4 linked regions of the Saccharomyces cerevisiae S288C genome follow. The gene in region 1 interacts genetically with each later gene. Each region holds a gene or a part of one and is shown in the gene's direction. Other genes may lie near its edges. The genes, in order: YMR1, INP53, RME1 and ALY1.

What was found.
Region 2: mutations in YMR1 (region 1) and INP53 together harm fitness more than expected from each alone (negative genetic interaction), as found in Saccharomyces cerevisiae (4 studies listed by BioGRID, with this or other methods).
Region 3: of YMR1 (region 1) and RME1, extra expression of one rescues a mutant of the other (dosage rescue), as found in Saccharomyces cerevisiae (one study listed by BioGRID).
Region 4: of YMR1 (region 1) and ALY1, changing one suppresses a phenotype caused by changing the other (phenotypic suppression), as found in Saccharomyces cerevisiae (one study listed by BioGRID).

Annotation. Positions count from the first base shown.
Region 1 is NC_001142.9:628,512-636,694, forward strand, and holds YMR1 (phosphatidylinositol-3-phosphatase YMR1), read left to right. Parts: upstream 1-5,103; coding exon 5,104-7,170; downstream 7,171-8,183. Other genes in the region: YJR107C-A (uncharacterized protein), read right to left, coding at 1-182; ABM1 (Abm1p), read left to right, coding at 201-572; carbamoyl-phosphate synthase (glutamine-hydrolyzing) CPA2, read right to left, coding at 1,074-4,430; PXP2 (Pxp2p), read right to left, coding at 7,344-8,183. UniProt on the Saccharomyces cerevisiae protein: Lipid phosphatase which dephosphorylates phosphatidylinositol 3-monophosphate (PI3P). Involved in the control of PI3P-dependent signaling and in the maintenance of endosomal system integrity.
Region 2 is NC_001147.6:519,925-529,101, forward strand, and holds INP53 (phosphatidylinositol-3-/phosphoinositide 5-phosphatase INP53), read left to right. Parts: upstream 1-5,353; coding exon 5,354-8,677; downstream 8,678-9,177. Other genes in the region: SNAP receptor VAM3, read left to right, coding at 1-48; GTPase-activating protein RGS2, read left to right, coding at 1,429-2,358; 2-isopropylmalate synthase LEU9, read left to right, coding at 3,103-4,917; transcription factor TFIIIC subunit TFC7, read left to right, coding at 9,017-9,177. UniProt on the Saccharomyces cerevisiae protein: Dephosphorylates a number of phosphatidylinositols (PIs) like phosphatidylinositol 4,5-bisphosphate (PtdIns(4,5)P2), but also phosphatidylinositol 3-phosphate (PtdIns(3)P), phosphatidylinositol 4-phosphate (PtdIns(4)P), and phosphatidylinositol 3,5-bisphosphate (PtdIns(3,5)P2).
Region 3 is NC_001139.9:582,490-586,234, reverse strand, and holds RME1 (Rme1p), read left to right. Parts: upstream 1-2,342; coding exon 2,343-3,245; downstream 3,246-3,745. Other genes in the region: TAM41 (putative phosphatidate cytidylyltransferase), read right to left, coding at 183-1,340; YGR045C (uncharacterized protein), read left to right, coding at 1,939-2,301. UniProt on the Saccharomyces cerevisiae protein: Involved in the control of meiosis. Represses the transcription of the IME1 gene thereby inhibiting cells from entering meiosis. But also activates the CLN2 gene thus promoting mitosis.
Region 4 is NC_001143.9:476,069-484,940, forward strand, and holds ALY1 (Aly1p), read left to right. Parts: upstream 1-3,165; coding exon 3,166-5,913; downstream 5,914-8,872. Other genes in the region: IRS4 (Irs4p), read right to left, coding at 148-1,995; VPS51 (Vps51p), read left to right, coding at 2,270-2,764; NTR2 (Ntr2p), read right to left, coding at 6,103-7,071; RQT4 (Rqt4p), read left to right, coding at 7,351-8,872.

The DNA of each region.
Region 1 (8,183 bases):
CCTGCATTGGCCCTCTCTTTGTTACATGAAAGAGGTTTTAGGGTTGGTAATATTTCTGGTTGTAAACTTCTTGAATACACTTGGGTAGCTAACTGCTTATTCCAGTTCTCCTGGCCACTAATCCCGGCTACGCTTTTGTTGAAATAGTATTCTTCTACAGCATCATAGCTATCATCACACATGTCTACTAGTTTCCACGTATGTCTTGGAGGTACTCTATCTTGACCGTAGATGGAAGCTTTAAAATTTTCATCCCTTGGGAAATATTCCTCACGTGGAATTTTTTGAGCGCTGCATGGCTAAATTCTACCGAATCCAATACGTATATCCACTACTCAACATGTTGGGGCACAAGTGATTACACACTTAATATCTCTGTCATAGAAGCTACTACAGAGAAATTGGTTGACACTAGATTATTAACAACACTCGAGAATGCAACCGCTTGGATTAACTCAAACTCTATTGATGAAGACGAAGATGATATGCCTCATGCCACTAACGTAGCAGACCGGCTTGATGGGTTATCCCTTAGCAAGCGCGTATATAGCATCTGTCACTACGAATTTTAGTGCGGATTCTCTCCGTAGCGTAAACGTTCTCTATACATCATCTACCCATGTTGCTCCACCTAGCAGAACATTTCAGAAAGAAAGAAGTCCAAGTAATGGCCAACAACCAGAAGGACAGCTTTTTTTATGAAGGCCCCCTACTGCATATTCATTAAGCTTAAGCTTGATCGGTGAAAAATGCTATAATCTACGTGTACTGGTCACATTGTTGCACATCTCAATTAATCAACGCTCTATTATTATACGGAAGATATAAAGGCATAGTAAATACACTTGCCTGAGGTATTGATTGATGAATTATTTTCCACGGCCCATGCGTTACTCACTTCGAAAATACATTTGAATTTTAGTGATAAGTTTTGCGATCTACTTTTGTTCAAGATAATAATACTGGGGTAGAATATACACTAAGAAGTCTCTTTGAAATTAAAAATATCTCTAAAAAAATCCATTATATAATATACAGTAATACAATTAGAGGCAGGTTTTTCTTTTGCACAATCAATATGCTTTGAAACCAATAAATTCATCCCAGGAACGGACTTCTGGTGGAACTATAACGTCATGAGATTCCAAAATTTTGATCTTTTCTGCAATTTTTGCCTTCAAACACTTTGCAAATAACAAAGCCGTTTGAGGTTCATTGAACAATGGGATAGCAAAATCAATAGCATTCCTTCTCATAATATAGTCAACATCGTCAGTGCTCTCAGCTCTCTTGGAGGCTAAATTGAAAACAGCTTTTATGTCATATTCTTGAAATAGTTCACGCAATTTTCTCTTATCATTCTTTGGAAATTTAATCAAAGAAACCTTTGCGTTCTTTTCTTTGATGTGTTCCTGTAGATACGTTTTAGTGGTCTCATTAGTTGTGTATATTCTGTAACCAATAGTGGCCACTATGGAAGCCACTTGGCCCAAGTATTCTCGAGATGTATCACCTCCAAATAATATACCACTTGGAGGTAGTGGTACATGGAAGTTCATGGTACTTTGAATAGCAGTCCAATAGCTTTCAATTAAATCTCTACCAAATGAAGCAACTTCACCAGTTGATGCCATTTCAACCCCTAAGAAAGGATCTGCACCAGCCAACCTTGTAAAGGAAAATTGAGGAACTTTAGTAGCAACATAGTCGTACTTTTTGTTGAGCATCAAATCAACAGGTTTTGGTACAATGTCACCGCCCAAAAATGCCTTGACAGCAATTTCAATAAAATTAACGCCTAAAACTTTTGAAACGAATGGAAATGATCTAGAAGCTCTAATGTTACATTCAATCACTTTCAATGTATGCTCCCCATCCTTGATGATTTGCATATTGAAGGGGCCAGTGATCTTCCAAGCTTTTGCGACCTTATCAGCAATGTCTTTTAGGGCAATCTTCACATCGTCAGAAAGATGTTGTGGCGGTAAGACTAAAGAAGCATCACCGGAGTGCACACCCGCATTTTCAACATGCTCGGAAATGGCATGTACCAAGACATTACCATTATAAGCAACGGCGTCCACATCAATTTCTTGAGCACCTTCAATAAATTTAGACATGACGACTGGGTGGTCTGGAGAAACGTCAGATGCCAAAGTTAATTTAGCCTTCAGTTCCTCCTCATTATTAACAACACTCATTGCCGCACCGGAAAGAACATATGAGGGACGAATCAACACAGGGTAGTTAACTTTAGAAGCAAATAATTTTGCTTCTTCTACTGATGTTAATTCACTCCATTCAGGTTGGTCAACATCAATAGAATCCAAAATAGATGAGAATTTGTGTCTGTTCTCAGCTCTATCAATATCGTTTGGATTGGTACCCATTATATTACAGCCGTTATCGTAAAGTTTCAAGGCAATGTTTTGAGGTAATTGACCACCGACAGAAATAATGCAACCCTCAGATTGCTCCAACTCATAAATGTCCATCACTCTTTCATACGATAATTCTTCAAAGTATAATCTATCAACTTCATCGAAATCTGTGGAAACTGTTTCTGGGTTATAATTTATCATGATAGTTTTCTTGCCTTGATCTCTTAATGTCTTCGCGGTGTTCACGGCACACCAATCAAATTCTACAGATGAACCAATACGATAGACACCAGAGCCTAAAACCAGCATACCATTTTCGTTGAACTCCACATCGTTCTTTGTAGCATTGTAAGTGGTATACAAATAATTGGTTTGTGCTGGAAATTCTGCGGCCAAAGTATCGATTCTCTTGACAAAAGGGATTATACCTAACGTTTTTCTTAAACTTCTGATTTCCAGTTCGTTAATGTTTGTGGAGGCGTGTTTATTTATAGTAACCGCAATCTGCTTATCTGAAAACCCTAATTTCTTGGCTCTCTGCAAGAGATCTTTACTCAAGTCACTTAAAGATTTAACTGATTCAAGCTCTTTATAGATATTAACAATGTTCATGCACTTGTAAAGAAACCATTTATCAATTTTACTCAATTCATTAACTCTCTCAACAGTATAGTTTTCATGGATTAAGGCCTGACCAATGGCAAGGACTCTTCTATCAGTTGGAGTTCTCAAGGCTTCATCAAGTTGATCGCCGAATTCAGTAGAACCTTGGAATCCCAATAATGATGGATCCACCTGTCTTAATGCTTTTTGAAAGGCTTCTTCATAGTTTCTACCAATAGCCATAACTTCTCCAACTGATTTCATAGAGGAACCAATGGATCTGTCCACGTATTGGAACTTAGAAAGATCCCACTTAGGTATTTTTGCCACAATATAATCCAAAGATGGCTCAAAGTTAGCCACTGTAGTTTTTGTGATTGGGTTTGGCAATTCTGGCAAAGTATAGCCTAGCCCAATTTTGGCGGCAGTGTATGCTAAGGGATAACCAGTGGCCTTAGACGCCAATGCAGAGGAACGAGATAAACGTGCGTTCACTTCAATAACTCTATAGTCTAGCCCATCAGGTTGCAAAGCGTATTGGACATTACATTCACCAATAACACCAAGGTGTCTAATGATTTTAATTGCGGCGGATCTTAACATATGAAACTCTTCATCTGATAGGGTCTGCGAAGGAGCAAAAACCATAGAATCACCAGTATGAACACCAAGTGGGTCGAAATTTTCCATATTACATACTGTAATACAGTTACCAACCCTATCTCTGACCACTTCATATTCAACTTCTTTCCAACCTTTCAAAGATTTTTCAACAAGAATTTGTGGGGCCAACGACAAGGACTGTGCGGCAAGTTCCTTCATTTCACTTGCATTGTTAGCGAAACCTGAGCCTAACCCACCCAAAGCGTATGCAGATCTGACAATAACTGGGTATTTGACCCTTTCAGCAGCCTCCAAAGCTTCATCCACGGTTTCACAAGCAAATGATTCTGCGATGGGAATGTTGATATCCTTTAACGCAGATGCGAAAAGATCCCTATCTTCAGAAGTGATCAAAGTTTTGATAGGAGTACCTAAAACTTTGACGTTGTATTTAGCCAAAACACCAGATTCATCCAGAGCCACCCCACAATTTAGACCTGTTTGACCACCGAAGGTTAAAAGTATAGCATCCGGCCTTTCAAGTTCAATGATATATGTGATGTATTCTGGTGTAACGGGCAAGTAATAAATCTTGTCCGCCAGGGAATGAGAAGTCTGGTTAGTAGCGATATTTGGGTTAACCAATATAGTAAACTTGTTATCTTCCTTCAGAGCTTTGATAGCTTGAGAACCACTGTAATCGAATTCACCAGCTTGACCAATAGAGAGCCCTCCTGATCCAATGACAAGTACAGAATTTACTCCTTCAACTAATTGAGGTTTGTAGTCCTCGGTAGTAAAAGCAGAATTCGTAGGCTCTGTTGATGTATAAATCGATGTCATTCTTTTCTTCCTGTCTATGTACTGTATTGCTCTTCCTTTATAGAACTAATTTTAACTATAGATGTTAGTTTTTCGATGCTTAAACTTAAATAGCGCTTCAAAAAAGAGATAAGGCATACTATAGAAGACGTATTAGTAATTATATATATACAAATAGCATGGCAGAAATGCTTATGACGGAAAAAAAAAGATTGGATTTTCTCGATGCTTACTCAAGGTGACACAATCGTTACGACATGGAGGTTCCTATCTCTGATATTCAAAAGTTATTGCCATCTCATCAATAAGAGTCATTCACAATAATCTATAGAATGCCGCAGGAAAGAAGACAGTGGTGGATGAGTCATTTTCTCAACCCTAGTTTACAATCTGAATGTTTAGGGGATTTACTATTTTTAATTAGGACATTTGAATATTTCTGATAGGGTAAAATCACTTTTTAGGGTTTCTGATTTTCTATTTTCCTCATTTTTCACAATAATAACAATGTTGCCATTCTTTTATCACTACCCTAAATGTACCAAATATTAGTAAGAAAAGAAACATTATAAAGAAAAGGAGGTTTTACAAGGGTCACTTGGTGAGATTAGGTCGTCGTTATTATTTTTATTTTGTGGGCGGGGTGTAATAGTGCTAAAAAGAGGGAAAAGAAATAGTATACCATTCCGCAAAGATGGAGTACATCAAGATTGCCAAAGTATCTAATGTAGTGCTGCATAGAAGAGGTACGGCCACACAAGGTACTTTACATTTGACTACTCACCATTTGATCTTTGAGTCACCACAATTGTCGACGGAATTTTGGTTTCCATATCCTTTGATCTATGGAGTGCATAAAAACCCGGGTAGTACATTACTGTCCAAGTTGACTTCCACTAATCAAATCCAATTGGAGGGAACGGATTCACAGAATTACAAGCTTTACCAGGGTAAGGATCTATGGTCTTTTGTAAATATCAAGGTAATTGGGAAAGATTATGCGGTATTCTCATTGGATTTCGGTGGTGATTTACATCTACAGGCAAGAAAGGTGTATGATTCCATCTTAAATTTGACGGTCCTGTCCAATATCACGCAACTATATGCATTTATTTACATATCCAACAATCTGGAAAGGAAACTACCTTCACCCGATAGCTGGGATATATATGACCCAATTAAGGAATTTCGAAGGCAGGGCCTCGACAGTAAAGATGAAACATGTCCTTGGAGGCTATCCACGGTAAACGAACACTATGAATTTTGTCCAACGTATCCCTCAAAACTTTTTGTACCAAGATCCACGTCAGATATATTATTGAAGCATGCTTCGAAGTTTAGATCACAGAAAAGAATTCCTGTTTTAACTTATCATCACAAGGCAACAGATTGCAACATTCTTAGGTCATCTCAACCATTACCGGGGTTGATCAATCAGAGGTCCATTCAAGATGAAAAATTAGTTTGGGAAAGCTTCAACTCATTTTGTAATAAAGATATTAGAAGAACGAAACATGTAATAGTAGATGCCAGACCCAGAACAAATGCATTAGCACAGATGGCGTTGGGTGGCGGGACAGAAAATATGGATAATTATAATTTTTTTTTAGCTGATAACAATATGGGTGTCGATAAAAGTCTAAAACTGCCCACAGTTACACGGTTATTTCTTGGTATAGATAACATTCATATTGTTTCCAACACAGCTGCATACATGACGGAAGTTATCTGCCAAGGTGGCGATTTGAATTTACCACTGGAACAGAATTTAATTAGGAGTCAAAAATTTTCCAATTGGTTGAAGTTGAACACTCTTATTTTAAAATCCGTTGATATGCTTTTAAAGTCCATCATTTTCAATCATTCCAACGTTTTGGTTCATTGTTCTGACGGTTGGGACAGAACCAGTCAAGTTGTATCACTATTAGAAATTTGTTTGGATCCTTTCTATAGAACTTTTGAAGGTTTTATGATCCTAGTGGAAAAAGATTGGTGCTCTTTTGGTCACCGGTTTTTGGAAAGAAGTGGTCATTTAAACTCTGATATTAGATTTCATGATAACACTATGCATTCCAACTTCAACGATGTGGATACCAATGGCGATGATCTTGACATAGGTGTTAACACTCAAGACGATTATGCTGAAGATGATGAAGGAGGTGAAGATGAGACGAATTTAATTAATTTGAGTAGAATTTCCAAAAAATTTAACGAAAACTTTAAATTGAACAAGAAAAGTCTAAAGTTCGTCTCCCCAGTTTTCCAACAATTTTTAGACTGTGTATACCAACTTTTGACGCAAAACCCAGATCTATTTGAATTCAACGAAAGATTTTTAAGAAGACTAGTTTACCACTTGTATTCATGCCAATATGGAACATTCCTTTCCAATAGCGAGAAGGAGAAATTTCAACAGAATTTGCCAAACAAGACTAAAAGTGTCTGGGACTACTTCAGATCTAGAAGAAAGCAGTTCATAAATCCAAATTTCATACAGAGAAAAAGAAGCGGCATGAATGAGCACGATCAAAACCTTGAAGAGGAAGAAAAAGTGGAGTGGATTTCGCCGGATCTGAAGAAAGTCCAATGGTGGTGGCAGTTATATGGAAGAAAAGATTCAGAAATGAATGATGAATTACGCCATAAACGAGACTCAGTACCCATATCGGTGGATAAAAAGAGTAAAGAGCATAGTAATTCCGATGGCGGTAAGGGTTTAAATTTGTCAATTTTTGGATTTGATATGTTTAATAGAAAGTGATCTGGTTAACGGCAAAGAAGACAAATAAGTGAGTTAGTATTTTGCATACAATGATAGAAGTATAGAAAAGTTCAAGCATTTCTCCGTTGTTAGTATACATATATATATATTAATTTTAATGAATAAGGGTACATATATTATGAGCATAACGAGTGGCCGATCGGCAAAGGGGCTTACAATTTTACAACACCAGATTTCCAACTAACACCACACCACTGAGATATTAGTATAGCCAATCCTCTCACTGCCTCCACAGTTTCCTTATCACAACCAATATTCAAGGCACCTTTCAAATGCCCACGCAATTGAGGATTAACATCTTGTGGAACCAAAGAAGCAATTATCACTAAACTTGTCTCTTGCGCAGATAGTATCTCATCAAAGGCAAACAAAGGGCCATATACATGGACCAGTGTATAATACCATAAGTCTGGGTACGAAGAGTTTAGATTGTTTACCACGCGGGTTGAGACTTTGTTGTATATTGAATTCCAATGCCGTAAGCCGTTCTGTATGGTATGATCTCTTTCCTGGATTGTCTTGTCATGCTTCCTTCTCATAGAGGTTTCCGAAAGGGGAGAACTGTTTCCCATGGCAGCCTCCCACGGGTCTATTGGGTCTAAGTGCGGTACTAAAATGTCCGGAGTAGTTTCCTTTAGCATAGTCAGGCCATTGATCGCTCTTGGAAGGCCGGCCAGAGGTCCTGTTTTAAGAATAACTTCTCTAAATTTTGCTGTCAATTGCTTTTGGAAAAAAGTAGGTTGTTGGTAATTCTCATTGATCAAAGTTTTTCTCATTGGTAATTCTGAGCGCAGTAAGTCAATGGTTTGGGAAGCTAATGTGAATCTATACATGTGTGCATTATCATTACTCAGTAGCATGGCATAGTGGTATAATTTAGGTATTTCCTGTGGCTCATTACAAACACTGAACGTGGCGGCCGCAACAAGGTACCATATATTCTTCAGTTTAGGGTGAAATTGTGATAATTGTATCAGCCTTTGTGCATTTAG
Region 2 (9,177 bases), on another chromosome or scaffold:
ATTATAATAGTTGTGTGCATGGTGGTATTGCTTGCTGTATTAAGTTAGTAATCTCCTTAAACGCGCATTGAGCACAGACTTTCTGGTAGACCCAATCTTATCTATTTACGAAAACAAGAGTGTATAAGAGTGTATAAGTTATTTTTTGCATTTATTCTTTTGTGGTAGGGGGGTTTCTTAGCCGCTCTTTTTGACTCAAAATTTCCTTTGATGTCTAGTGATAGTGCACTTCCCATGTGCGCAACCTGTGTTTTTTGTACTCCGTAGTTTAAATGCAAGGGCTCGATATGCCCTTTTTCCTTTTTCTACTTTGTACGATCTACACTGACCTTTTTTCAGTAGTCCGTAAATCCCCACGAATTTCTACTAGCGACTGCCAATAAAAAAAGGATTGTGCTACTGTATGTAAAAAGTAAGAACCCTGTTATTTTCCGTTAACTGTCATTTGCCTTACTGTTGCTTAACGGCCGCCAACCGTTATCAAGAAACAAAACATTGTATGCGTTGTCTTCTAAATGAACCTTGTGGGCCCTGATAAACATAAGAACGTGTCTGGCTCGGAAGTATTTATCTTATTTCAATTTTCGCTTTTGCAGAACATCCTTGCCTGTCACTAAGATAAGGACAGAGCGTGGATTAATAAAAATGGCAGAATTTCTCGGCAAAAAAAGAAATCATGCATAATTACCTCGATGTGTACGTTATTGCGGGCACGATCCTGTCGCTACGGCCTGATAGTAGCGGCTATTCTGCTGGCGAAAATTTTCAGCAGTTTGAAATCTTACTGTGGCGTCCCGGTCCAGCCGAGATGACATCTAACTAAGAAATGTCCGCTGCGGCACACCCACGCCGTTGCAGCTAAAGTCGCGCACCAAGCACAGACCTGCTGGAGAATGAGGAACAAGGTTGCGTTAAATGCTTCGGGAAGAACTGCCGAACCGAACCGCTAGAAAAGTGCGCAGGTACCCCGATCGAAGCGGCTCGGCGCTCATTTTAGCACAATCAGAAAAAGGAAATTGAAAGAAGAAAAAAAAAACATAATCATTAACAATTCTTTTCTTGAGATATACGTATATATGACGTCGTCATGTAGTATCTCTTTCGGGATACCCTTTGTAAACGTCCCTTTGTGGAGATGAAAAAAAAACTTGCTGAATAAAGATAGTTAAGGCGCTAGTAATCAAATTAATAACATATTATACCACATCACATCTATACCATTTCCGTTGCACATTGCTTGAACCAGTTGCCAAAATTGACTAAACGGATTTTTACAAAGTCAACGGTGATCACTAAAAGCAAACAACTCAAGCGACGAGGCAAGGAAAGAGAAGAAAAAAAAAATATTACATTGGCTATATAAATATCAAAACATCTTAGGTAAGGCACCTTTGATACATAAAACGAAGAAAATTCAGCACATGCCAGATGGCGAGTGTACCAAGTCTATGCGACATACTGATACCGCTAGAAAAGAATAGTCGCAGCGACGGCGATGCTGAAAGTAGCAATACAGTGCTGATTCAACTGCGAAAAGGGCATCACGAACGGATGCGTTCTCCTTACACAATACAAAAGTTTTACAAATTTCTAAAAAGAGCTCATTGTGAGGAAAATTTAGAATTTTTCGAAAAAGCTCATCAGTTCCTCCAGCTTAAGCAAAACAGGAGTATTAGCGAGGAGAAGCTCTTGGAAGTTTGGAACAAGTCGTTGTACATAAAATACATTGCCGTGGACTCCCCCAAAGAATGCAACTTTTCACAGGATACTAGGGAGATATTTGAGAAGTGCTTTGCTAACAATGAAGTACCTGCCGACGTAGACGTCCTGTGTGCCATTAGCCATGTGATGGGCCTATTAATGGACGGGTATCACCGATTTGTGAGTTCTGTTAATGAGAAAAAGTACTCCGCCACATATGCCCACAATGACTCTGCTACGGAACAAGATCTCAAAAACGAGTCTACAACTTCTTTTTCGTCATTAGGCGTGGAGGATATTTCTGAAGATAGAAATTCGTATCTTAAGAAGCCTGATATCAATGGTTTGTCAACTATCATTCAAGAAACGTCTGCAAACACGACCAATGAGTCGCAATGCAGCGATCGCACTTCTCGGCCAAGCGAGTCCTCTTCCTCACTCAACACTACCAGCTCGACCTACAAGAATACCAGCACTAGAAATCTGCAAAAACCGCAAAATACAGGAATTCTCAACTCGGGGAAAGGTTTATTGCAAAAACTTAACTTTGTTAAAAAACGGAAATCTTTCAAACAGCCTTCAGGCGTCATTTGTAGCCATTATAACAGCAATGTTCAAAACCGTTTGAAAGGACAAAACAGTCATCAACAAAGATAGCCTCTTCATCATCTGTGGAGACACAAATATCTTCATCCTCATCGCCATTACCCAATAAAGCGATCGGTAAAAATGAAAAAAGCGTTGAAAACGGCTTTAAAAAGCTAAATTTGCATGATATCAGTTAATCAAGATTAGAACTTTGATTAAGTAGAACAACGATAGAAAATCCGCTTTTCTGGCTAGTTCCCTCGTTTCATATTAATTCATTTCACACAATTTACTTCATTTCATCACGCTCATATTGTTTGTAACTTTAGTTTTTATTTAATTTTACGTACATGACACTGCATATAATTATTTCACAGGCATTTAAAATAAGAGCATTGGGCACAGTCTTCTTTTATATGTTGTCATATTCAAACACTAAACATTTATCTGTATAGTAATTAATGTTAGCTCTTCCTTCTGCATGGCGCTTGTTATATACTTCATTCGTCTATTTTGGTGCCGCGCGCCATCATGGTCCGGTAACGGTCGTAGTGAATGACTCATATTTTTCCATCTCTTTCGGCCTTGCCAAAAAATGAAAAAAAAAAAAAAAAAAAAAAAAAAAATTAAAAACGATGTCCAGAATCACAACTACAACATAGTTTTGCCTCTTACTGGCTTGATTGGAAGTTAGCTGTTAAATTTCAATAATGCCTTACTTTACTCCACGAAATCACAATCCTTGTTTTCGGCTTATAAGGGTCTTCTCCTTAGGATAATACTATCGGCACATTATCATTTAGCCGCGTAGCCATGGTAAAACATTCGTTCATAGCGCTAGCTGAGCATGCTAGTAAACTAAGAAGGTCTATCCCACCCGTCAAACTGACTTATAAAAATATGCTACGGGACCCATCGGTAAAATATAGGGCGTTTGCTCCACCAAAAATGGTCAAGAGGATTTGGCCTGACAAAACTATTCAAAAGGCTCCACGTTGGCTGTCTACTGACTTGAGGGACGGTAATCAATCTTTACCGGACCCAATGTCTGTGGCTCAAAAGAAAGAATATTTCCACAAGTTGATCAACATCGGTTTCAAAGAAATCGAAGTGTCTTTCCCCTCTGCATCTCAAACAGATTTCGACTTCACCAGGTATGCTGTAGAAAACGCTCCAGATGATGTTGGTATTCAATGTCTTGTCCAATCTAGAGAACACTTGATTAAAAGAACCGTGGAAGCATTGACTGGTGCTAAAAGGGCTACCATACATACTTACTTGGCCACAAGTGACATGTTCCGAGAAATTGTCTTCAATATGTCTAGAGAGGAAGCTATTTCTAAAGCTGTAGAAGCCACCAAACTGGTTAGGAAACTAACCAAGGATGACCCTTCCCAGCAAGCTACTCGTTGGTCCTATGAGTTTTCTCCCGAATGTTTCAGTGATACGCCAGGTGAATTTGCTGTAGAAATTTGTGAAGCTGTTAAAAAGGCTTGGGAACCTACCGAGGAAAATCCGATCATTTTCAACTTACCAGCTACTGTAGAAGTTGCCTCTCCAAATGTTTACGCTGATCAAATTGAGTACTTCTCTACCCACATTACTGAGCGTGAGAAGGTCTGTATTTCTACGCATTGTCACAATGACCGTGGTTGCGGTGTCGCCGCCACAGAATTAGGTATGCTTGCAGGCGCTGATCGTGTAGAAGGTTGTCTATTTGGTAATGGTGAACGTACAGGTAATGTTGATTTGGTTACAGTTGCCATGAATATGTATACCCAAGGTGTTTCTCCTAATTTAGATTTCTCAGATTTAACTTCAATTTCTGAAATTGTCCATCGCTGTAACAAGATTCCAATTCCCCCAAGAGCCCCATATGGCGGTGAATTGGTTGTTTCTGCCTTTTCTGGTTCTCATCAGGATGCAATTAAGAAGGGATTTGCAATCCAAAACAAGAAACAGGCTCAAGGAGAAACTCGGTGGAGAATTCCATACTTACCATTGGATCCAAAGGATATTGGACGTGATTACGAAGCCGTCATCAGAGTCAACTCTCAATCCGGTAAGGGTGGTGCTGCTTGGGTTATTATGAGATCTCTAGGATTAGATGTACCAAGACCAATGCAAGTTGATTTCTCCAATACTCTACAGAAAAATGCAGATGCCTTAGGAAGAGAGTTAAAATCCGAAGAGATTACAAAATTGTTCAAAGAAACTTACAACTACAACAACAATGAACATATATACGTCACCTTGTTGAATTACGAAGTTAAGAAATTGAACCCAGAGCGTAGAGCTTTAGTGGGCCAGGTAGAAATCAACGATAAGGTTGTCAACATCGAAGGCTACGGAAATGGTCCTATCTCTTCTTTGGTGGATGCGCTATCCAATTTACTGAATGTTAAGTTGAGCGTTCAAAACTACTCTGAACATTCCTTGGGTTCTGGTTCTGCAACCCAAGCGGCATCTTTCATAAATCTTTCCTACATAAAGGACATCAATAATCATGCTACTAGTAATATGTGGGGTGTTGGTGTCTCCGAAGACACTGGGGATGCATCTATTAAGGCGGTATTTGCTACTGTCAATAATATTATTCATTCCGGGGATGTTCTACTGGCAGAGTAATAGAAAGGAGTAGCTTATGATTACTCATGTTATATATATATGTATTTTTATTTATAAATGGCACAGAAAAGTAACTTATTTCACGTTAAAAAGACATCTTTCAGCGAAGTTTCCAAACACTTCTTCGATGTCTGTGTGGAAAGTTTCTTTCGTTTATAGTTTTATTATTTTTTTTTGCTTTTTTTCCCATGGTACCATTTCCTTTCGTGAAACATTTTACCCAGGCCCACCCACCGCATAATCTTAACTGAATCCGAATAGGGATTTTTCGAGCACTACTGCAACTGTTGAGTGAGCTAGGAGTAGTGTAATTTGAGACTTTGTGAAGGGAGAACAGTCAATATCCAATATCATATTAAGAAAGCTAGCAGTACCTTAAGAGGAAGAAAGAAAATAACTGGGGCGAAGAATATCTAGTTATCCACTCCTTCATAGAATGATTATCTTTGTTTCAGAAGAACCTGAAAGGAGGCTAGCCATTGTATCCAACTTGTATGCTCTTGTTCTTAAACCGGTTGGGAAAAAGCCATCTGATAAACCCCTTTGTGCCATTGAACTTCTTCAAAAAAATGATTTGAAAAAATATGGCTTCAAAAGACTTACATCACACGAAATTTTTGGTGTTATCGGACTCATTGAGGTTAATGGCCTGCTGTTTGTTGGTGCCATCACTGGGAAATCAAAAGTTGCACAGCCATGCCCAGGAGAGACTGTGAACAAAATTTTTGCTGTCGATTTTTTTTGTTTAAATGACAACAGTTGGGATTTTATTGAAATCGACTCCTCAGGTTATCCTGTGTTGCCGGAGACTGCTTCAACTGAATATCAAGACGCCTTGCCAAAACATCCATGCTATGAATTGAAGAAACTATTATCCAATGGATCTTTTTATTATAGTTCAGATTTTGATTTGACCTCAACCTTACAGCATCGTGGATATGGTCAGCATTCTTTGAGTACAGATACCTACGAAGAAGAATATATGTGGAACTCTTTTCTCATGCAAGAAATGATCACATACAGAGATCATTTGGACACAAATTTGAAACAAATCTTGGATGACGAGGGGTTTTTAACAACAGTTATCCGTGGATTTGCGGAAACTTTCGTCTCGTACGTTAAGAAGTTGAAAGTTGCTCTTACTATCATCTCGAAACAGAGCTGGAAAAGAGCAGGAACAAGATTTAATGCACGTGGTGTGGATGATGAGGCAAACGTTGCCAATTTCGTAGAAACGGAATTCATTATGTATTCTAGCCAATACTGTTATGCTTTTACACAGATTAGAGGCAGTATACCTGTATTCTGGGAGCAAGGTACCTCTTTAATCAATCCAAGAGTACAAATTACAAGATCATTTGAAGCCACCCAACCGGTATTTGACAAACATATCATGAAATCAGTGGAAAAGTACGGACCTGTGCATGTCGTTAATTTGTTATCAACGAAATCTTCTGAAATTGAACTTTCAAAACGATACAAGGAGCATTTAACTCATTCAAAAAAATTGAACTTCAACAAAGATATATTTTTGACAGAATTCGATTTTCATAAAGAAACTTCGCAAGAAGGCTTTTCCGGTGTCAGAAAACTCATTCCATTAATATTGGACTCTCTTTTATCTTCTGGCTATTATTCTTACGATGTTAGAGAAAAAAAGAACATATCTGAACAACATGGCATATTTAGGACCAACTGTTTAGATTGTTTGGATAGAACAAATTTAGCTCAGCAAATTATTTCTTTGGCTGCTTTTAGAACTTTTCTCGAAGATTTCCGATTGATTAGTTCAAATTCGTTCATCGACGATGATGATTTCGTTTCTAAACATAACACCCTGTGGGCTGATCACGGTGATCAAATTTCCCAAATATATACTGGTACTAATGCTTTGAAGTCCTCATTTTCAAGAAAAGGTAAAATGTCACTTGCTGGGGCATTATCAGACGCCACAAAATCGGTCAGCAGAATATATATTAACAATTTCATGGATAAAGAAAAGCAACAAAATATCGATACTTTGTTGGGAAGGTTACCGTATCAGAAAGCAGTGCAACTTTATGATCCCGTAAACGAATACGTAAGTACGAAATTACAAAGCATGTCTGATAAGTTCACATCAACCTCCAACATTAACTTGTTAATAGGATCATTCAATGTTAATGGCGCAACCAAAAAAGTTGATTTATCAAAGTGGTTATTTCCAATCGGTGAAAAATTTAAACCCGATATTGTTGTTTTAGGTCTTCAAGAAGTTATAGAACTATCTGCGGGTTCGATTTTGAACGCTGATTACTCGAAAAGCTCTTTCTGGGAAAACTTAGTGGGTGATTGCTTAAACCAGTATGATGATAAATATCTGTTGTTAAGAGTAGAGCAAATGACTTCTTTACTAATTTTATTTTTTGTTAAAGCAGACAAAGCTAAATACGTCAAACAAGTGGAGGGTGCTACTAAAAAAACTGGCTTTAGGGGTATGGCTGGGAATAAAGGTGCAGTGTCTATAAGATTTGAGTACGGTGCCACTTCATTTTGTTTTGTCAATTCTCATCTCGCAGCAGGAGCTACGAATGTCGAAGAACGTCGAAGTGATTACGAGAGCATAGTTAGAGGTATTACTTTCACTAGAACTAAGATGATTCCTCATCACGATTCGATTTTCTGGTTAGGTGACATGAATTATAGAATAAATCTACCGAACGAAGACGTCAGAAGAGAGTTGCTCAACCAAGAAGAAGGATATATCGATAAACTGTTGCATTTTGATCAACTTACCCTAGGTATTAATTCTGGCAGTGTATTTGAAGGCTTCAAAGAACCAACTCTCAAGTTCCGTCCAACATACAAGTATGATCCCGGGACAGGAACTTATGATTCTTCTGAAAAGGAAAGGACGCCGTCATGGACAGATAGAATTATTTATAAAGGGGAAAACTTACTTCCTTTATCTTATTCAGATGCTCCGATAATGATTAGCGACCATCGGCCAGTTTACGCAGCATATAGAGCAAAAATAACTTTTGTTGATGATAAAGAGAGACTATCTCTCAAGAAACGTTTATTCACAGAATACAAACAAGAGCATCCCGAAGAACCGGGTTCTCTGATATCGGATCTTCTCAGCCTTGATCTGGATAATAAGAGCACTGATGGATTCAAAAGCTCTTCTGAAAGTTCTCTACTTGATATTGATCCGATAATGGCACAACCGACAGCGTCCAGCGTTGCTTCTTCGTCACCTGTGTCTTCAGCATCGGCTTCACTACAACCTGTCAGAACTCAAAACAGTAGCCAGTCGCGTACCCCCATAAAGAAACCGGTATTGCGCCCCCCACCCCCACCTGCTCATAAATCTGTATCAGCACCTGCTCCTTCAACATCGAAGGAAAAATCACCAACACCACAGACCTCAACTGCATCGTTGTCATCTGTGACTAAAAATATACAGGAAAATAAACCATTGGCGCAAAATAGACGAATTCCACCACCAGGTTTTAGTCAAAATATATTAACTCCAAAAAGTACCAGTAACTTGGCTTCGCCTATGTCTTCTAAGGTTGATTTATATAATAGCGCGAGTGAATCTACACGTTCAGCCCAAGATGCAAGACAACAGACACCTACAGCATTTGCAGCATCAAGAGACGTCAATGGGCAGCCCGAAGCTTTGCTAGGTGATGAAAATCCAATTGAGCCAGAGGAAAAGGCCAAACTAAACCATATGACTTTAGACTCATGGCAGCCATTGACCCCAAAATGAGAATATGTTATCTTTGAAGTGTGGTTGTTGTTCCGTTTGTATCCCTTTAAATGAACGAAGAGAAACAAGGGGGCTAACCTGGCCAGGTTGTTTTATGTGATTTTATTTAGATAAATATTTATATAAATATTCAGTGAGAGAAAAGGAGTGCGTTAATAAGGCGCGCCGGGTTTAAAGCTGAAAAATAGGACACATTAATATATATACGTTAAATATTGGTGAATACTTATGGGCAAGGTGGAAGAGAATCTCTACTATCCATAAATCCTCAGTAGGCTTTCCCCTAATTACCTTCATTTTTCTACCTCAATAACATATTACTCCTTTTCAATACATTTTATGGTGGTGAACACGATATATATCGCAAGGCATGGATACAGATCCAACTGGCTTCCGGAGGGTCCATATCCTGACCCACTTACAGGAATTGATAGCGATGTTCCTTTAGCAGAACACGGAGTCCAGCAAGCCAAAGAGTTGGCCCATTACCTTTTGTCCTT
Region 3 (3,745 bases), on another chromosome or scaffold:
TAAGTCAGTTTGAATGCCAATATGGGATAATGTATATTATCTAGAAGAAGGTAAAAATAAAGATGAATAAATATTGACCGACGCCAGAGATTTGGAATGTGAATAGAGCGATTCTTCGAAAGAGATGAAAGGACGATAAAACATTTTTGATAAAAGATAATGTGTAGATAACATTGGATACACTAGCTTCTCCTCATCGATTTTAGTTTTTTGGCCCAAGCATACTTAATTGACTTTGTGATTCCAGCTGTGAAAACACCTTTAATAGTTTGTAATGCACTTGATTTACTAATACGGCTGAGCAAAAGTCTCTGAGTATTCTTTAATGTGAACCCTTTTGGAAGATAAAATGAATCATTTAGGACCACTTCTTTGTAAATCGGCTTGTAATACTCTTGAAATCTTTCAAAGTTTTTGGTAACAATGTTGTTAACTTTGTCGGGATTTTCTCCACCCAGTTTGTATCTAATATCACCTGCATAACTTAAGGCAGTGATCTCCTTGTAAAATTGGAATTCGTCAAACTTATTGTTATTTTTCTCTAAGGTGTAATGTTTGGCCAAAGTAGCTGCAGCTTTTAAGTTTAATTGGTTCCAATATTGCACTCTCAAATCATTCTTCAATATTTTTACAGGCTTTTGTAGTCGTCCTGCTAAATAGAATGTATTCCAAGTAGCTATGTCCTTTAAAAGTGTTTCCATAGAAACCACCCCATATTTTACGTCGTGTCCATTTATATTTGCAAATGGATTAAAATATACGCCTGCGCCGATCTGTTGAAATTTAGACACGAACTCGGAACCGAAGTATTTCAAACTTGAATAATGTTGCGGATTCTGCCTCATATTAATAGAGTGAAAATGTGATGGATATGTGACGCCCAAGATTATATCGATTTGAGGTTTGCTATGACTTTTGGAATATCCCGCTTGTTCGAAAACTCCTGAGCCGTAACCAAATACAAACCGGCACGGAGCTTTGAAGGATGACATTACCCCATCCAGTTCCTTTTGAAGTTCCTTATCGATAGTAATGAGCTGGTTACTTCCATAGTTGGGGGGCAATCTGTGAAACTTGTACATATAATTTGTAAAATTGGAAGTCATTTCGTCAGTTTTTCTTATACCTTTTTCCAAGAGGTCCAGATCACTGCCTTTAGTAATTCCCTCGATGTAGTGATTCGGCCTTTCGTTAATAGTTCCATCGGGGATAATGCCAGCATCATCTATGGAACTTCTCCCCTCCTTTATTTGAGTACTCAGAAGCCTATTAAACATGCTTACGTTCGTTGAATGGCATTTCAGCAGAAACCGTAGACCATTTTCAGAAACTCGTAACATAACTTCAGGATATATCAAAGTAAAAAGCAGCTCCTATTAATTCAAATTATTAGCTCAATCCTATAGCAACGTTTCTCAAGTTTAATTGTTTTGAAGGTTTTAGAACCTTTTTCACATTATTTAGTCCGTCGAAACATCTACTCTTTACTATTTATGGCTAAACAGGCTGAAGGGTATGATTTCTTTTCTTTTCTTTATTCATGTCGGGTAAGAGAAGGTCACTTGACCTATGATGTGGGGGCAAATAATAACGTGGGAATAACAAGCGCGCTACTGGTAAGTGAAAAACTAAGATAACAGTTGAATTTCGTGTTTAGATGCTATAGAGAGTCTGGTACAGCATTGGCGATTTAAGACTTCTCTAGTCCACATTTCTTAAATTCAAAATCACAAGCGCCTGTTAACGATCATTTTATAATCTACGATGTGTAAATGCAAAAAGTGCTTTCCTCCCTCTTTAGTTTGGACAGGGATAGTGGGTAAACGAGTAGCATTATGAGTGCATACATTGCCAGAAAGAAACCGCAAAGCGGCATATCTTTTTTCTTCTTTCTGTTGTAAGGGATGCTTCGTCACGTAAAATGGCCGCCGGAGTGAGATGTCACAGATTACATCAAAAGGTCGGCGTATACTGGATAAGAAAATCCGAACTTTTCCGGTGGGCTTTACCAGCAGAAAAGTGGCCGGGCATGTATTAAATATATCACCGTATTTTCTGCTGGCTTTTTCTTATGCAGAGAACAAAGGCCAGAGTGCCTTCGAGGAAATTAAAGGGAGCAATGTGATAGATATGTCCTGTGTCATTTGCTTCAATTTTTCCTGCCATTTATTTGTAGTTATATTTATATCTAGATCAACCGAAACTATACCAACGACGAAGCTGCTTCTTAGTAAATATATTTTCTACTGTGTCAACGCATTGGAACTGACATTGTTCTTATCCTATAAGTCATACAGTTGAATTTGTTAATTCTTTACTAGAAGTTGGGATTTTCAGCACTTATGTCACCGTGTTATGGACAAAACAGTGCCATCGCCAAGGGGTCTTGGAACAGAGAGGTTTTACAAGAGGTGCAACCGATTTATCATTGGCACGATTTCGGGCAAAACATGAAAGAATATTCGGCATCACCCTTAGAGGGGGATTCCAGCCTGCCTTCCAGCCTGCCTTCCAGCACTGAGGACTGTTTACTACTATCATTAGAAAACACAATCACAGTTATAGCCGGAAATCAGAGACAGGCTTATGACTCTACGTCGTCTACTGAGGAAGGTACAGCACCTCAATTACGGCCGGATGAAATAGCGGACAGTACACACTGTATCACGTCATTAGTTGATCCGGAGTTCAGAGATCTTATTAATTATGGACGTCAAAAAGGAGCAAATCCTGTATTTATTGAGAGCAATACAACAGAACAATCCCATTCACAGTGTATTCTAGGCTATCCCCAAAAATCGCACGTGGCACAGCTATATCACGACCCCAAAGTACTCAGCACAATTTCCGAAGGGCAAACAAAAAGAGGAAGTTACCACTGTTCTCATTGTTCTGAAAAGTTCGCAACGTTAGTTGAGTTTGCCGCGCACTTAGACGAATTCAACCTTGAAAGACCGTGTAAGTGTCCCATAGAGCAATGTCCCTGGAAAATATTGGGTTTCCAACAAGCAACTGGTCTGAGAAGACATTGTGCTTCCCAACATATAGGAGAGCTTGATATAGAGATGGAGAAATCATTAAATCTAAAAGTAGAAAAATATCCAGGACTGAATTGCCCATTTCCTATCTGTCAGAAAACGTTTAGGCGCAAAGACGCCTATAAGAGACATGTGGCCATGGTGCATAACAACGCTGATTCAAGATTTAACAAGCGTTTGAAGAAAATTTTGAACAATACCAAATAGTTGAGGCATTAAAAATGTACCCCATGAAACTCTTGTTAAATTTGTGCAGGCATGAAAGCTACTGTATTTTTTCTTAAAGTAATAAAAATAAAACACAATGATATTAAAGAAAACGCATGCAACTATGGACACTTGCTATGTCGTGAATATGGCACCACGTTGGTTACTTAGCTAAATAAAAAATCGTAAGTACTCGCATTTTTTCTTCTATATTCACTTTGCTTCTTTGGACAGTTATTTCAATAATAAATATTTCTTTTTTTCTAATCTCCCTTATCACCTAAGAGGAAAAAGTTTGAAAATAAACTTATGGCTAGAGGTTATTTGGTATTCCGAGAAAACATTTGAAACTAGGAAGTTTACATATCAGTGCAATTATGTTTCCTTCGATGATTCACGTACCCTCAAAGTCAGTACCATAAAATTGAAAATAAGACAGGTGTTTTTTTTTTTTTTTTTAATCATACAAGAATTCAACCACTTAAGTAGGATATTAGCGC
Region 4 (8,872 bases), on another chromosome or scaffold:
CATTTTTTTAGTAAGATTGGCCTTATCTCGAACAAGATTTCTGAGATGACAATTCGATTAGCTTAACAGTAACAAGTGGGGGAATTACGCATTATATATATATACTTCTGTATATGTCTACCTACGAAGTGGTGCGAGTCACACTCGTCACGACGAGCTATTGTGGTCTACAAGAACTACACGGTTTTCCTTCTTGATATTCTTGATTTCTTCTTTCATCTGTTTTCTCTTTTGTTTGGCCATCGCCTTTAGCGTACTCACTGGCACAACCGTGGTGGAAGCATATCTATCTACGCTATCCCAAACGCATTGCTCGACAACATTGGGAAGTTTTCTGCCATACAGGCACTGATCGACCAGCCACATACCCACAATAAAAGATTTCCTATCTAAAGTACCATCTTTTCTTGTGTCTACCTTCGTGTAAATTTCTGCCAATAGACTATTGGGCAAGTTAGACCGCTTCCAGATATCACGGACTATGATACCCAATATCAATCCATCTTCGGGTAAAGTATTAATTGCTCCGGAATCACCCGTTATAGAGGGCCACCAGCTCAACAGGTTCAAATGACGGTGTCTGTTGCTTACCCACATGCTTTCGTAACGCTTCCTTTCGTTGTCTGTTACGAAAGTTATATCTGTATGTGATTTCCAGGGTTTATCCTCATTGAATTTCCGATCTCTCGTGCGGTGGATAGGCCTATGATGTGCAGTTTTATTGGCAGAATTCCTGATCTTTCTCTTAATTCTATCTCTTTTGCGTGGCTTGGTCAAGGCGTCCTGGTTCTGATCAGATTCAGAATCAGAATCAGTATCGTCATACACATCATACGTGTCGTTGGACGGATTGTACTTATACCTCAGATTTCCCTCATGTAGAGAGGATGCATGATCATTTTCTGCGTTTGTACTTACAGAGGTTTTACGTAATGTTGTTTTAAATCTCATACTCGGTTGTTGTTCATGTTGTCCCAGTTCTTCGCTGCTTGCATCCATTTCATATTGTGAAGATAAGTGCTTGGGCTTACTACCAAATACTTTCCTTTTGAACTTGTTAACAAGCTTCTTCTTCCTCATATCGGATGAATAGTTCGGAACCAAGTTGGGCAAACCACTTCCCTGGTTGCTCGTTGTAGTAGTAGTGTTTGAGCTTGCAATAGATGGCTCTGATTCACATAACGAGAGTTGATTAATTGTTTGAGATAGACTTGTTTGTGACCTATTAGAAATAACGTCTGAAGTGTCCGGATTGAGACTATGTCTGGAATCGATGCTAATTGATGATAGGTTTTCATTTTCATGAAGCTGACCACTGCCGACAAGTGATGATTGCAAGGGAGGAGACGGCCTGCGTTTGGGCAGAGCTTTGTTGCTGTCTTTATTAGTTGCAGGCTCCATAGAGCTCGAGGATAGCCTTCTACCGCTACTAAAGGAAGTAAGTAAATTCTCTTGAGATCTATTGTCGGGAGTTCTTTGGCCAGGCGTCAGTGATTCATTGGAGCCGTTTCTTGAGCTTGAGCGTGAATGAATGCCCAGCAAGCCATTCAAGTTCGGAGTTTCTAGAACTTTTAGTGTATCCAATGCCGAAGAATGGGAGGAGTTATTGTCAGAACTAAGTTTCGATTGTGAATGCGCTAAAGCAGCTGCCATTTGAGCAGTACTACTAACATTATCTTTACCTGCAGGGCTTGACCTGTGTTTCTTAGACAACTCAACATCATTAGGCGCCGTTGTTTTAATCTTAGGTACCTGTTTTGTTCGTATGCGTGCCTTCTTTTGTTCTTGTTTCCGCCCTGACTTTTGTAGCGATGGCTCTGATAACCTAGTTTGAGGATTCCTGCTCACCGTTACTGGAGGGCATGGACTGCTGACCTCATTGGAATGGTTCTGGAAGATAGCTTGCGCAGCGCGAAGGGAATCTGAAGCTCCTTGTTCAGTCAAAGTTACTGTTGTACCGCCATGATAACGCTGTTTACCAAACGAAAGTCTCATACTCCTCTGCTAATCTTTTCCTATGTCAAAAAAATGAATCTACCCAGGCCTTAAAAGTATGTTCTACCTGTGCAACGAGAGTGTTGTTGTGGCAAGGGTCCATTACACAATGGGCCTTTTTGTGATGATTCAACTTCGATATGCTTTATACGAGAAATCATCGAATTTTCGCTGCGTGGAAACAAGAGGCAGTAAGTTGTACGTATAGGTGAGGCTCTGCATAGAAGAGGCGTATTTGCGGTGAGACGGAATCTGACGAGGATATTAAGTACAGATGGCAGAACAAATTAGTCACAAAAAGTCCCTGAGGGTGAGCAGTCTGAACAAAGATAGAAGATTGCTCTTAAGAGAATTCTACAACTTGGAAAATGAACCGAATAAAGGTCGTCAAGAAGCACGTATAGGGGAAAAAGCCAGCGAGGCTCATTCTGGGGAGGAGCAAGTCACAGATGTGAATATAGATACCGAAGCAAACACTGAGAAACCAGTGAAAGATGACGAATTGAGTGCAACTGAAGAGGATCTCAAGGAGGGGTCAGAAGATGCAGAAGAAGAGATAAAGAACCTGCCCTTTAAGAGGCTAGTACAAATTCACAATAAGCTCTTGGGCAAAGAAACCGAGACTAACAATTCTATCAAGAATACCATTTACGAAAACTATTATGACCTAATAAAAGTCAACGACCTTCTCAAAGAAATTACAAACGCCAATGAAGACCAAATTAACAAGTTGAAGCAAACAGTAGAATCTTTAATCAAGGAACTGTAATTTCCAGCGGCATATCGTGGCTTTCACCGAACACTTCCTTCGAGAGAGTGCATTTTACTATGTGAACCAATTTTTCCTCTTTTTCGGTTTGCAAGTTCACCTGAAAAACTGCTTAACACTACTAGCAATTGCCCTATTGTCGTACGAGGACTTTGCCAAATGTATTCCCGGCTGTTTGTAGTATATATACGCAGATATATAATAGCGCCGTCTTTTTACCTCTTTGAGCGAATTGCCAAATATTGACTCTTTTGTCTTATTTCGCTATCCCCATCTTATCAAAAATGGGAACAACTCGTTGAAATAAGAGACAAGCAACAAGAAAGACAACCAACAGAAAGTTCCATTCCGCACAAATACGCTGGAATCCCATAGAATATTGCTTGTTCCTCTATGACTACATGCTCCAATTCAATACAGAAAATGATACTGTAGCTCCAGTGTTTCCCATGGAGCAAGATATAAATGCAGCACCTGATGCCGTCCCACTGGTGCAGACAACAACACTACAAGTCTTTGTAAAGCTTGCCGAACCCATAGTGTTTTTAAAAGGATTTGAAACTAACGGACTGTCTGAAATAGCCCCCAGTATCTTACGAGGATCTCTTATCGTCAGGGTGTTGAAACCGAATAAATTAAAAAGTATATCGATAACCTTCAAAGGAATATCCAGAACAGAGTGGCCGGAAGGTATACCACCGAAGAGAGAAGAATTTTCAGATGTTGAAACTGTTGTCAATCACACATGGCCATTTTATCAGGCGGATGACGGCATGAATTCTTTCACCTTAGAACATCACAGCTCAAATAATTCGTCCAATCGCCCATCTATGAGCGATGAAGATTATCTACTTGAAAAAAGCGGTGCTTCAGTATATATCCCACCAACCGCTGAACCCCCTAAAGATAATAGCAATCTAAGTCTGGATGCCTATGAGCGCAACTCATTGTCATCCGATAATTTGAGTAACAAGCCAGTATCAAGTGATGTTTCCCATGACGACAGTAAACTGTTGGCTATTCAAAAGACACCATTACCATCATCTAGTCGAAGAGGATCGGTACCGGCAAATTTTCACGGTAACTCTTTGTCACCTCATACCTTCATATCTGATTTGTTTACAAAAACATTCAGTAATAGTGGCGCTACTCCAAGTCCTGAGCAAGAGGATAACTATCTTACACCATCCAAAGATTCTAAAGAAGTTTTTATTTTTCGACCGGGCGATTATATTTACACTTTTGAACAGCCAATATCGCAATCTTATCCAGAAAGTATAAAAGCCAATTTTGGTTCCGTGGAGTATAAACTGTCAATAGACATAGAGAGGTTTGGCGCATTCAAATCAACTATACATACTCAATTACCCATCAAAGTCGTAAGGCTTCCTTCTGATGGATCCGTAGAAGAGACTGAAGCTATTGCAATTTCCAAGGACTGGAAAGATCTTCTTCATTATGACGTGGTAATTTTCTCGAAAGAGATCGTTTTGAATGCATTTTTACCCATCGATTTCCATTTCGCTCCTCTAGATAAAGTTACTCTGCATCGTATTAGAATTTATCTAACAGAGTCTATGGAATACACTTGTAATAGTAATGGAAATCACGAGAAGGCTCGTAGATTAGAGCCAACTAAAAAGTTTCTGTTGGCTGAACATAACGGTCCTAAACTGCCTCATATACCAGCTGGTTCGAATCCTTTGAAGGCTAAAAATAGAGGGAACATCCTCTTGGATGAAAAATCCGGCGATCTAGTTAACAAAGATTTTCAGTTCGAGGTGTTTGTCCCAAGCAAGTTTACAAACAGTATACGGTTACACCCTGATACAAATTATGATAAAATCAAAGCCCACCATTGGATAAAAATTTGCCTTCGTCTTTCCAAGAAGTACGGGGACAATAGAAAACATTTCGAAATAAGTATTGATTCTCCAATCCATATTTTAAATCAACTATGCTCACACGCGAATACTTTGCTACCGAGCTACGAGAGTCATTTCCAGTATTGTGATGAAGATGGTAATTTCGCACCAGCAGCAGATCAACAAAATTACGCAAGTCATCATGATTCCAATATTTTCTTCCCAAAAGAAGTTCTTTCGTCTCCCGTTCTTTCACCTAACGTGCAGAAGATGAACATTAGAATACCGTCTGATCTTCCAGTAGTGCGTAATAGAGCTGAAAGCGTAAAGAAAAGCAAGTCAGATAATACCTCCAAGAAGAATGATCAAAGTAGCAATGTCTTCGCATCCAAACAGCTGGTCGCAAACATTTATAAGCCCAATCAGATTCCAAGAGAATTAACTTCTCCTCAGGCGTTACCATTATCGCCCATCACCTCACCAATTCTCAATTACCAACCATTATCAAACTCCCCGCCTCCAGATTTTGATTTTGATCTAGCTAAGCGCGGCGCAGCCGATTCTCATGCTATTCCTGTGGATCCTCCATCATATTTTGATGTATTAAAGGCCGATGGGATTGAATTGCCATACTACGATACAAGTTCATCTAAAATTCCTGAACTAAAACTAAACAAATCTAGAGAGACATTGGCCAGCATTGAGGAGGACTCATTCAATGGTTGGTCTCAAATTGATGACTTATCCGACGAAGATGACAATGATGGCGATATAGCATCTGGTTTCAACTTCAAGCTGTCAACCAGTGCTCCGAGTGAGAACGTTAATTCACACACTCCTATTTTGCAGTCTTTAAACATGAGTCTTGATGGGAGAAAAAAAAATCGTGCCAGTCTACACGCAACATCAGTGTTACCTAGTACAATAAGACAGAACAATCAGCATTTCAATGACATAAACCAGATGCTAGGCAGTAGTGACGAAGATGCCTTTCCCAAAAGCCAATCATTAAATTTCAATAAGAAACTACCAATACTTAAAATTAATGATAACGTCATACAATCAAACAGCAATAGTAATAACAGAGTTGATAATCCAGAAGATACAGTGGATTCTTCAGTCGATATTACAGCATTTTATGATCCAAGAATGTCATCAGATTCCAAATTTGATTGGGAGGTAAGCAAGAACCATGTTGACCCAGCAGCCTACTCGGTTAACGTTGCTAGTGAAAACCGTGTACTGGACGACTTTAAGAAAGCATTTCGCGAAAAGAGAAAATAAGTACATTATTTTCATTCTCCGACAGAATTGCTACCATTTTACTTTGTGTCCTGTGATTCAATAGTGTACAATATATTGGACATTTTATAGTATACAAATATACACCATCAATCTATACATCCATATCACTTGTCGTAAAGATATCCCTTTTTAATAGTACAGCGATTAAAAAAATAACATGATTAACGTTCAGTTACCAATGAGCTTATTTATTAGGCTTGCTTTAGATTTTTCCAAGTCAATTTTTGTTTTTTCTAACGCTTGCAACCTCATCTCAACCTTCTTCCTTTGCAAGCAGATCTTCGAAACCATCTCGTTTATTCTCTCAATGCTGTTCCCACTTTCATCATCGTCTGGGAAAAGTACCGGTAAGGGCGTGATGATTTTCTCATTCGATTTGTTTATATTTCCTTTGCTTAAAAGCTGGGTTTCCCATTCTTCATTAGTTCTGTAGGGCACTTCATTTATGGCCTTCTCTATAATCTTTCTTTTAGAATCCTTTTGAATAGCAATTTGATTATCCGTGAGGGCTAGCATTTCGTCTTGAAAGCCTTGCATTTCATCGTCACTGAAGTTCGTAATCTCCTTTTCATTGTTACGTTTCAGACCACCATTTAATCTTATTGTCTCCATAATTTCGCGTTTATCCTCACTGTCCAACAATTTTACATAATCTCTTTCTGTTGTAACATCACTCTCACTAATTTTCCTTCTAGATAATGACTTCTGTGCTTTCAGTTTTGCAATTTCTCCTCGGGTTGGTATACTACTAATGTGCTCACCTTCGGAGCTACTGCCAGCCTCTGAAGAATCACTTAATAGATGATGATTCCCCTCCATCAAGTCCTCCATATTGAGAATTAGCAAATCATCTTTGTTTCGCGTCGATGCATTGGTATTTTTCTTTGAATGGTAAAGATCTTCATAATGCGAATTATCCTCCTTTATTGCTTGTTCGCCATCAAAGGTAATGTCGCGCTTAGGAACTTTTTTAAACTTTATTGGTTGTAATACACAAATGTCGTTGTCATCATCTTCAGAATCGTTCGACACTAGGGGCTTAATTTGCTGCATTGGCTTATGCGCAGAACCATCAATTCCAACCTCCTCAGGAGAACCACTTGGTAACCTAATTTTATTTCTTTTCTTGATCGCCATAATGTGTTCAAATGCTATAACATTGCTAGGCAGAACTTGACGTAACTCGACCAGTTATATTGCTTCTTCAAAGCACAAATTTATGATGATTGCTTTCAGTTATGAGGTTCATTTCGATATTCTTTATGATCTTCGCTTGCCGGGTATCGGACAAATATTGAAATATTATACAGCAAGAAAGAGGCATAAAGAGCCTGGCAGCAGCAAATAATGGCAAAGTGAACGTAGTCCGAGAAACAGTGGCTTAATTATTTAACCTTGGGTTTGCAGTAATTAATAATGACAAGAAAGCAGGCTATTGACTATGCAATCAAACAAGTTCCGCAAATATTGCCTTTGGAAGAGTCTGATGTAAAAGCGCTGTGCGAACAAGTACTGAGTACATCATCTGATGATCCAGAACAAATTGCTTCAAAATTTTTGGAGTTCCTAGGTCATGAAGATCTATCGTTTGAATTTGTAATGAAGTTCAATGAATTATTGAATCAGAATGATAAAAAAGAGGAAAAAAAAACGAAAAATGTGCATCTTGAACATACTGCCCCCACTTCATGGAAAAATGAATCAAAACAGCCCACTAATAACTATATCAATAAGAAGGGAGATGAAAAACCAAAAAAATTAAAGGATGAGAAGAAAAGCTCGACAACGAGGCCTACCGTTCAACCATCAAATCAATCTACGCAATCAAACCCCATAAAGGAGAAAAAAGAGCACAGATCAAAGGGGAAATTACAATCGTTACAAGAAATAGACGAAGCAATCAAGATGCTAGAGCTTCGAGATAGCGGTTCTTCTAAAAATTGTAATTGTCAAGGTACAAGGCATCCAGTTTTCGACATCGCGCCAAACTGTCTTCACTGTGGTAAAGTGGTTTGTGTTATAGAGGGATTGAATAAAGGTAAATGCGGTCATTGCCATGAACAGTTGATTTCTGATAACGAAAGAACCCAAATGGTAGAAATTTTAAATCAGGAAAAAAACGAACTAAACGGTTCATCATCGTCCTTATCCAATGCGTCAAATGGAGCTAATGTCCCAAAGAAGAAGACTAAAACCTACAAAATAACTTCCGGTATGGGTAAAAATTTATTTGCTGAACAGGACAAATTATTTGATTTCATCGAAAGGAAAAGAGAAAGAGAAAGAAAGCGTAATGAAGTGTTGAAATTGCAGGAGGAAAAAGAAGAGAGCGAAGCAAAGGAAAGACAAGCGAGCGAGCATGACCATAAAGCTGAGGAAAACCCGGAGTTGTTAGCAGCACAAGAACGATTAGATAGACTTTTATATTTCCAAGACACTTCGGCAGAAAGAACAAAAATTATTGATAATGCCAGCGATTTTGACATGAATCAGGAGGTGGGTTTATGGGGCAGCGCAAGAGAAAGAGCTCTTGCGTTGAAGAAGCAACAACGTAATTTGAGAAAGTGGGAAAAAGTAGAAAAGGAACGGAATGGCAGGCGCGAGAAGTACGTTGTTAGCATGAATATAGGTTCAAACGGTAAAGTTACTATGACAGAAGTCCCTAAGGATACAGAGAACGTAATTGCAGGTTCAGATGATGACATCAGTGATATAAGTGACGAAGAAGATATCAGCGACCTTAAACATATACACGCTCTGAAAAGTGAAATAAATACAACGAAATCCTTGGAGAATTTGCATTTACAGTCCAAAGCATGGGATTACGAACGTGATAAAAAACAATTCGATAGGCCTACGTATGTGAAAAAAAATTCAGATACTGCACAACAGAATAGAAAAACGGAAGAAAAGGCTCACGACATGCAAGCTTATGATT